2 linked regions of the Drosophila melanogaster genome follow. The protein of the gene in region 1 purifies or fractionates together with the protein of each later gene. This does not show direct contact. Each region holds a gene or a part of one and is shown on either strand. Other genes may lie near its edges.

Evidence for each region.
Region 2: the proteins of hig (region 1) and side-VI purify together in Drosophila melanogaster (affinity purification with western blotting; one large-scale study listed by BioGRID). This does not show direct contact.

Annotation. Positions count from the first base shown.
Region 1 is NT_033778.4:9,244,029-9,249,320, forward strand, and holds the start of hig (hikaru genki), read right to left. Parts: upstream 3,222-5,292; 5' UTR 2,867-3,221; coding exon 2,737-2,866; intron 383-2,736; exon of another isoform or gene 304-382; coding exon of another isoform or gene 143-303; intron 84-142; coding exon of another isoform or gene 1-83. Other genes in the region: Cyp4p3 (cytochrome P450 4p3), read left to right, coding at 1-83, 143-303.
Region 2 is NT_033777.3:10,970,393-10,975,672, reverse strand, and holds the start of side-VI (sidestep VI), read right to left. Parts: upstream 3,293-5,280; 5' UTR 2,324-3,292; intron 1-2,323.

The sequences.
Region 1 (5,292 bases):
GGAGAGATTTCTGCCCGAAAACTCGCAGAATCGTCACACCTACGCATATATTCCATTCAGTGCTGGTCAGAGGAATTGCATAGGTATGTAATATTGCTTACTCTCATGGAATGATTGGATAAACATATCATTTTCTTTGTAGGTCAAAAATTTGCCATGCAGGAGATGAAAACCCTAATGGTGGCCCTACTGAAGCAGTTCCAAATTCTACCAGAAATCGATCCGAAAACTATTGTTTTTCAAACTGGACTAACACTGCGGACCAAGAACCAGATTCACGTGAAGCTCGTGAGAAGAAAATGAGGCAGCTTTAACGGAATGGAATTGTTCACGGAACTCTGTTAGTCATAAAGTGCACAGTGAACAATAGTTTCATCCAAAGACTCCTTTCTTCTTTCTCTTGGTGCAAAAATGTCCTGTGACTAGCTTATGGCCGATAATCGTTGGCATCTCGACAGCTGCCGCCCTATAAATCATTCATGCCCTGGCGGGTAGAAGCACTTCTCTTCTTCTTTTCCAGCAGCTATTACAATTCCAACTCCCATTTCCCACACAGTGGGAGCTCCCTGTCATTTCCTACCCCTCCTATTATTTTTGAGGCAGCCCAGGAAAAGTCAAGTAATCTCTGTCCTTTAGCTCACATATATGGGAATGCAAATGCATAATGCGCTGGCGACTTTTTGTCATTTGGTTTTCCTCCTCCTGCCGAGGCTACATCCCTTTCCCAACGACTCCTTTTTGCTTTAACTGCGATTTTGACAGTTCGTTACTCAGTTATACCATTTGCATGCATAATGCAGACTCAGCTTTGTTCTAAGCACATAAAATGTGGCAAAAAGACATGGGTGACCATGGGCTCGCAAAATGCACTGTGTGTGGTGCACTGAAATAAGTTCCATCTATCTTTGGCTTCCTATTTATTTTATGAAATATTTATATCATGTTTCGAAGGGATATTTTTAGTTAGCTTCTCTTTTATATGTGGCTTACTACTACTCTACTATTGAAAATAATTATCGTAAACGCATATTTTTTAGTGTGCGCCCAACTCGTTCCAACATCATCATCCATCCTGGGGACCCAGGATTTATGGGACAGCACATGGAAATGGGTGAAAGGCAGCTCTGGTTTTAGCTGCTACTCGGCTACTGCATATTTCATTAGTGCTCTGTGCGCTAGTGCTTCGTCGCCATAAGTCAACATTAAATGGATTCCATTTGTGAGTCATGTAAATTAAATTTCCCTCGCTTTCACATGTGTCAAGCGAACGTTTGGATCTCAGAAAATCTAAGAATCGGCACCCCTCTCACCTGACTGACTGCCAAACTGCGCACCAAAAGGCGAAATAAGAAGTCGCAATATCCGCCACAAAAGAAAAAAAAAGAAGATAAGTGCGACGCACTTTTGCCTGACTGAAGGACGAAACCCCAAAAGCTCAGCAGCTCAACAGCTGGTCCTGTCGATTTGCCAGGGGAAATTAGAAGGCAACCGACTGGAGGGATGGCGATGGCGATGGCGATGCCGATGGAGGCAGAGTGAATTAATTACTTTATGCGCATCTGCGTGTCGCTGTCGGGCACTTTACACTTCCCCTGTATCCTTTTTCCCACTTCCCTTGTCCCTTGTACCCCACATCCACCCATTCCCCCGTCCAAAGTCTTCCTTCCCTTTCGCAAAACTCACACATGACGCTATTAATTTCTATTACCAGCCTCGGACGGCCTGCCTGCCATACTTCATTACGGACTTTCGTGCAATTGCCGCTTGCCCGAGCTACCTTTCAGCTCCCCTTCCCCTAGTGCACTGAGAGAAATTATTGGTGACTGCCAGCGGAATTAAGTTTCGTTGAGATTTAGGAGCAAAGGTCTAACAATCAAAAGTATGCATTAAGTTTGCGCCTTATTAATGATTTCACATGTTCAAAATGTTCAGTAATCATAATTTATAATGTATAAATATACATATGTAATTGAAAATATATTTGATCAAAAATAACTAAATTTATCATTAAATTCTTACCTAATAAATTATCATAATACGCTCGAAATAAAGGTTAAATAATTATTTTACAAGGTGTGAAATACATAATGATTTTAAATATTTATGTGAATGCTATACGAAAATTTATTTCGATTTGTCATACATGACAATCATGTTTTTCTTTATTCTTACTGAAAAATAATGTTTGTGATTGCGTTTGAAAACTAACTTTAAAGACTTCATGATGTCTTGCTTTGAATGATTCATAATAAAAGCCATTATCCTTGCACCTTATAAGCATGTCTTTTATAATTTAATATGAAAAGCAACCTAAAAATTTGTTGCCAAATATTTTCCGCAGTGCCCCGTTTTCGCGATGCCCTTGCTTGTTTGTTGACTCTGATTGGGATTAAGGTTGCCCATGGGCTCTCGGCTCGCTTTGATTGCCTTTGTGCCGCAGATGCCGTGAAATATTTCATTTGCTGCCAGTTATTTGCTCTTGCGCTCTGTAGCTTCCCCTCCCGGTTACGAATTCATTTCTACTCCGGATTTATATCCTTTTTGTTCGAGCGTGTGTGATAATCGCTGGGAGCTGGAAGCTGTGAACTGTCCGATTTCCATGGATGCGTGGAAGGCCATTTAATAAAGTGACCGAGTTCGAGGCGGCCCGTCATAATTTATTTACGCTTTTCGTCCGTCCAGTGAGTGAAGGTCAAACGGAGGAGCCCACGTGTGTGCGGGGCAATTAGGACTCACCTGGCTCGGATGTGGTGCTGGTCTCGACGGGCTCCGTGTTGGCATTGCTTTTGTCCAGGACCAGCAGCAAAACGGTCAAGGATATTAGGGCCCAAAGCGGCTTATGGCGCATTCGCTGCCTGCTCCACATGTCCAAGGATCAGATTGCGATTGCCAGAGTTTCGGCGTTGTTTTGTTTTCGTTTGTTAAGCAACCCGATGAGTCCTTTCAAATAGCAACGAATTTAACACCACTGCACTTCACGAGTTGACTTCTTAATGGGCCAAAAATAGAAATCCACTTGGCCAACTCACACACACACACTGGCGTACCGCCAGCAGTAACCCACACTCGCGCCAAACTGTATGCAACGTGTGCGCGTGTATGTGTATGTGTGTGTGCTCTTTGGCTTTAAAGTTTCACTTTTACTTAGAGTCCTTTGCGGGGTTTTATCCTTTTCGAAGCTGGGCACCTATCCTCTCGAGCGACGACAATCGAATGCCACGAGTGCGGCGAGCGTCTCGCTTTTATACCTCTCGTTGGATTCTGCGCAGCTTCGGCTCTGCTTCGTTCGGCTGCAATCGGCTGCATTCGGCACTCGACGAAGGATCGCACTCGACGAAGCTCGCCAAAGGATGTGTCACGTGCATTTTGCCGGCAAATCGTGTGTTTTTGTTTTGGTTTGGCCCATGTTTTGCTTAGTCGCTGTTGCCATTGCCGTTGCTGTTGCTGTTTTTCGTCATCTCCGATTTTCCTCTCTCGCTGCTTTCGCTTTTCGCTGTGCCCGTGTGTCTGCGTGCGTGCCCTTGTAACTCTCACGTAGCTCTCCTTTTTCCCACTCCCCCCCGAACCAACCAAGGAACACCGCCCACCCACGTGGCCAATTCCCAGCTACAAATGAAGTTTTCCGCTTGCTTGCCACGTTGATTCGGTTACTTTCCAGTTTAAAACTAATTTAATTATACTTCCTTAGTTCAGGCAGATACTTTTTACTGGTGCAGCAGTGAATCAATCGCATAAAATCAATTACTATTTCCTAATTCACTAGGGGAAATCGTTGCTGAAAATGTTATTGGCTTAAAACTGCGATTTATATAGCCCGAAAACATGAGCACATAAGGTACAATAACTAGACGACTATAATTATTTAATTGAAATATTGTATGTAGGAGATAAATATGAGAATTACATTTTTGGATACATTGGCAATAACTGCTAAAGTTTAAATTTTATGATTTTTACTTGGCGGTAAGCTTAGCAACTAAATGCAATTTTTTTGTAGCTAATTATATGTTTATAAATTCAAAAGTGTGCTTCCGTGTTTACTACAAATTCAAAGTGGGTACATTCTATTGTGGCTAAGGAGTGCAGTGGAGCCAAGTGCTCGGCAAGGGACTCACCTTTGCTGCTCCTCAGCTGCCGCTGCCCTGAGAAGTATGCTATCAATTGTGCTGACGTCGCCTGTCTGCTGGCCATTCCTTTTGGTCCTGGCCAATAATCAAGCAGCAGTTGCGGTGATTTTGAGGCCTCTGCTCTGCGACCGAAGCCAAATGGCATTTGGCATTTGGCAACCAGGTTGCGGATGCCACTTGGCCACTAATTACGCAAATGAATGCTCCGACAGGACGCCCCTTGTTGTCCTCGCAAGATAAATGTCACTCATTGGAGGTTCAGGTTAGTCCTGGTCCTAAAGCGTAACCGTAACAATACCGTCTGGGTCGCTCTTGTCTGTCGCATTGAAATTTTGCTGAAATGCGAAATACCAAATGCGAATGCGAATGCGAAACGCGCTCAACTCCAGTCGAGTGGAAAATGAATGTTTGTGTGCTGCATTCTCCCCCTCAGCTGGCAATCCAATTGTGCAGCGGCATTATCTTTTGTGTATAGTTTCTGGCATGCCGTCCTAGTGGCCCGAAACTTTGGAATGCAATCAGGCTGAAAATTTATACGTTTAGCATGTTTATCCTGCCTCCTGGCAACGAGCGGCTTTACAGCAAAATTCAATTTGCTGCCCTGCAACCGCAGGCTGAAATTACATCTCTGGTATTCCAACTCAATTCGATGCCGACGGGCCGAAGGCTAATAACCAATGATTTCCTGGGTGCCAATGAAGTGCGTGCACCTGACATGGTCGCAGCTTTTCTAGATTAAAATGCCTGCATTTAGCAGATTAAATTATTTAATCAAGACAATTACTTACTGGCTGTGCGATGGGCAGATGCAACAAATACATGGCTTACCGAATCCTCATTTCGGTAGAATGAATAATACAATATGCATAGTAAGTCACGCAAAAGGAATATTTACTTTGGCCAGCTTGGTTGGCAGCTGATTTAATAACTACACATCCAATTGTTTTAAATGAAATAATCTCCTCTTCGTTTTAATGAAATTATTGCTTTAAATAAATTCCTTGTTGTTTTGAACATATGTCAAAATAATATATTCTTTAAGTTGTAATTCAGGTTTTAGATATTCAAATATACAATAAATATTCTGAGATTTCTTAACATCGATCTCTTCGATAATATGTTATGCTCCTTATTTTGCTCAGTGCACCAAGCGGAAAACAATCGC
Region 2 (5,280 bases), on another chromosome or scaffold:
GGCTTTGTACAGCAAAAGCTTTGATTTCAATTCTTCTTTACTTTGAAATGTGATATTCGCCAGTGTGATTTAAAGCGCTTCCATTTGAAAGAGAAGGGACGATTTGGCAAAGAGAAATACGTGCTATAAAGCATGTACTTCTTTGATCAACATAAAAAAACAAATTAAATCATTTCATTTGATTAAAGTACGAACGTGATATTCCTCAGCGTTGTTTAATTTAAAAATGGTTTTAATTAGTACACCTCAGGTCATTTGATATCGCGATTTGTGGGCTCCTGTAATGTACCCATTGGTTTTCTTTTTTGGTTTCTCCAAAACCCAATTCTTTCATACAAATAAAACCTTTAAAAATGTACTGTGATTCAGTCTTTAATTTGTATTTTTTAAATCTGACAAACTATGTAATCGATTCCTATTAAATTCACTTTTTTATGGCCCTTTTCTTCGAAAGGTAAAACAAAACTACAATATATTATCATGTTTTCATTTGAATGGCCCATATATTAGTTAATACATTTAAATCTGGTTTTTTCATATGTAATTTTGTTAGGGTTAAAGTGTAACGTAAAAATAATTCAATATTAGGAAAATGTTTATTCTGCTTATGTATATATATATATATTTATTTTCCGCTGTTCCCAGCAACCTGCTGCTTATATCGGATGTCCCAAAATTCATCTTGGATAGTTCCGCTATTAACTATTAAAATTAATTGTGAAACTTTTCACTCCGAGCTTTATGCGAGTCACACGCTTCGTCTTCCATTTGTGCTCATAAATCTCGTCTGTCTACACACACCAACTCGCATCCTTTCAGCCGTTGTCCTCAAGAGCCTGTCAACAAAGGGCCAGTGAAAGTTTTCGTGTGTCATGACAATATTTACATGCTGCATTAAACTTGCTCCCCCTGACAGGCGAAACTTTTGCAGCTGCTGCTCATGTTATTAAAGTTGCGCATACGCCAGGTTGTCCCCTGGCCAGCTTGATTTATGCGAGAAGAAGCCTTAACTTTTGGACCAGGCTTTTAATAATTTAAGCTCTGCAGAAAATCAGATCTGAGATAGCTCCCCACCCCTGATGCATCCCTGGCCTGTTGCCAAGCCACGTTGCGTTGACTGAGCCGAAAAATGCAAAAATTTCCTGCTGCCGCTCCTCGTTTCTGGCCATGTTGACAATGGCGGCAACAAAGCGCATTTGGCAAGAGCCTGCAGCCTTGCCAACACCCATACCCATAGCCACACATATACCCTTACCCATATCCACATTCACATTCACATTCACATCCACATCCACATGCGAAGACGTGCTCAGCAAAAGTGAAATGGCAACAATATATGTGCGAATGCGAATACGAATGTTACCAGCCAGCCAGTCCACAATGCAACCGGGTGCGAGACTCACTGAGTTGTATACTACTCTGCTTGCCATATATGTATGTATATAGAAATAAAAAGTAGGTTATGCACAGACAGCATTTTAATATGATTTCCATGGCTTATGTCTCCTCGGGATAGACTAACGCACTTCTCAGACTGACTAACTGACACCCCGGCATCAACAAAATGATCAAAGGCAATGGGAAATATTATCCCTGACACAATCGCAGACAAATTGTAAGTTCCACTCATCTGTGTGACCCACTTTGGCGTTGTGCCTTCAAAGAGATCAGCAGGGAATTTCAGCAATACTGATGACTAAACTTATAAAGCTTTATACCAGCAAAGTCTGACAAATGATTATAAAAAATTTATTCGCAGCTGAAGAATTTAAGAAAGCACAAGTTGTGTTCAACAGCTTTGAAAAGATTTAAAATTCCTTTAACTAATAAGTAACGTAACAAGCGTTTGGTTTTCCATAATTGTTTTACCATTTTTTGATACAATATTTTGCTGCCATTCGTTGACAACAAAATGATTCTTTAATATTAGGGAATTAGGAATGAAATTCCTAAAAGATATTTAAATCCTCCAATTTTCCTACACCGTCTTAGATTTGTTTCCAATAAAACTCTTTATTTTCATTCAATTCCGAATTATTATTACAAGAAGACTGCACTGAATTAAGCACTGAATTTATTTCTTGTATTCAGGCCTTTTGTGTGGAATTGTTTTCACTTTAATACCATTACATTTCCACATACCTCCAAGCTGAATAGAATAAATGTTTCTATTTTTAATGCTTCAACCTTCTTAGCACAATGGCCTGCATTATTATTCTTAGCATACTTTTGAGCGCTCACTTTCGTCTGAAGATTAGGTTTGTCGGTACAAAAGTATATGTACGTTTATTTTGGTAGATATTTACTTCCCACATGCACTTACCCCTGTTTCGGCCGTATTGTATCCTTTTGCTGTGGCGTTTACTCCGCTTTTTGGCGTTTTTTACGGCCTTTGTAATAAAATCAGCCCTCAGGGGTTAGGAGGAAATGGAGTTGTTGCTGCTGCTGTGCTTATTGCTTATTGCTCCTGTAGAGGGCGTGTTGGCATTAAGCGAGTTTTTATGCAGCCAGCGAGACGCACACACATCATATGAAAAGGAGCTGAAGGAGTTGGAGGAGCAGCGGCAGGCAATTGAGCAAAAAATATGGCAAAGTATTTGGCGGGTGCGAGGCATAAATTTCGATTTCGTCGGCCTTGCTTTTGCTTTGCTTCTGCTGCTAACTTTCTCGTCTTCGAATCGCCGCCAGCCGCGAGGCCAATATTTAAAGTAGCAGCCGATGCGAACTTTATTTATGGCTCAATAATGTGTATTTTGATTTATGCATTGTGGGCGCGTACACAAGCGCACATATATATAGTCGTACACTGTAACTGCGGCACACACATACACGCTCCCAATCGCACTCACTCACATACACTCACTGTATTGTTGCCTCAAGCCAAAAAGGACGCGATTTGCATAACAACACATTCAGAAACTTAACGCAGGCGTTTGAGATGTTTCTACTTCTACTTCTAGCACGTGCACTCTCGTCTCGCTTGACGTTTTTCTATTTTTATTTGGTTGTTGTATATTCAGCATTCAACAATTGCGATAACCGATTGAGATATATACTTTTGACTAGGTTGGGTGGCACTTGTTTCTTGATTTCCAGCCCAATTGCTTCGTTCGCCAGTTTGCGGATGCGGACGGTCAACACTGCGGCTACGCGATGTGAGGCGATGCGATGCGATGCGATGCCGCCCGTACGACAGCGACAACGACAACGACAACACGACAACGAAAACGAGAACGACAAACGGCGGCAACGGAGCACGACAACTACACAAATCCACGACCTTTTCAGTACTAAAGCGCCTGGCCATTCATTCGTGGCTTTGGCCACTTTTGCCATCGCCCTCCACGATTCGGATCCTTCGGCTTTCGCTCGGGTCGCGCATTTTCGACTTTGCCGAACAGTCGAATCCTTTGGGTTTCCCTGTGTGTGTGTGTGTGTGAGCCTTGTAAGTGGGCCAACACTTGCCGCCGATTCGATTTCGAAAGCCAGAACGGCTGGCAAGGGCCAGAGTATAAGAGTTTTGGTTGTAAAATCCAAAAGTCGTCTTGGTTGTCAATCTGTGGAAGCCAAGTGGTAGGTAAGCTTACCTCAAACGCTTCATGAACTTGAATTGTCAAGTTTTAAAAACGAAATATAAACTACCAGGGGCAAAAGATAAAAAAGATGTTTGTGAATGAAAAAATAAATCACTTCTTATTTTTATCTATTGATAATAATACTAAAAGTTATGAAAAGTATTCACCTTGTTGACTATATCTTGTATTAAAAATCATCTTATACCTTACTTGAAAGGATCCCAAATGTTTTTATTGTTTTTTGAACCAATATTTTTGAATATGCTGCCATGATGATGGAAGTATATCAATATGAAATCCCGATCATGATTTATTTGCGACTTTCCACTTCCCTTCCCCCCTGCCGTGGGTGTCCAGTCCTACCTCAACACCCTTTTGCCCTTGCGAACCTTCTAAAAACATATTCCACCACGCATTCCTGTGGAACCTTTTGCTTTCCCTCTCTTTTGCGTTTCCATCGAACTCACGATGTCTGCCTCTCTTCAAAATCGCATCTACCTAGATGAATGAGAGTTTCAGAAAGCGGTTACCAAGAGCATCTCGCACTTACTGCAGTTTCGCTGGTCAAGGCAGCCAGTCAAGGATCACAGATTACAATGAATACTTCACTAATGTTTGGCTAAAGTTCATGCAGTAAGACTATAAACCCAATTAAATATATAAAGTCCGTATAGGTGAATAAAAGACCAATAGAACCATTTCCGGGTTCTGGCATCGTTTTAAGAAACTCTAATGTCCTACTTATTAAACCCAAAATGTAAGCCCAGCTGAGTGATTAATTAATCAGAATTTCCTGATTGATTTCCTCAAGGTGTAGGCTAAAAAATGGCACCGCTACAACTTAACCTACACCACCATCAAAATCACGCATCACACCGCTTACAAAAAAAACTCTACTACAATGGGGTGTAAGCATGTAAGTTGACATGGGACCACGAGACCCGAAGCTCGCATCTCTCACGCTTTCTCTGAACTTTCTCTCGGCTTTCTCTGGCTCTCTTTTCGATTTCGAAAGCGTGGTTTCGCCAGACATGCGCCCGAAACCAGCAAAAAAAAAACCGAATGAATTGTGGAACGCGAAAACTTTTGCTTGGCATGAATGGGATTTTTTCAAAATTTCCAACGGTTTCACTCTTATACCACTCAAGGAAAGCTCTCGCTTTGCAAGGCGATCCACTCAAAGGATGAAGAATGGGACACATGGGTAGCACTGCAACAATTGCACAGCCTAATCTTATCAAATTTCATTTACACGCTTGGCCAAACTCTAATGGCAAATCCAATGCCGAAATGAAGATAGCACTAAACCACTTTCGTCAGCACACACACACACACACACACACTCGCGGACTCTTTTTCCTTACTTTCCCCATATATATATATAGTGTGCACATATAGAAAATGTAACTGGTGATGTTGTCAAAGTATTTGGCTCCTCCACGCGACATTCTTTGGGCCAAAATAGCGCTGGCTAAACATTAACTAAAACTGCAAAATTCCATCACTCACACACACATAATCAAAAGCCCAGGACGACACTCACACACACATGCAGTTTCGTGTGTGGTGTAGATTGTCGGTCTTCTGTTCCTACAAAATCTCAACGCTCAACCGCCAAGCATGGCATTTCATCAGGCGGCAGCAACGAGAGCAGCTGCACCAGAATCAGTCTAAAACTAATCAGGAATGGCCGATTTGATACCCA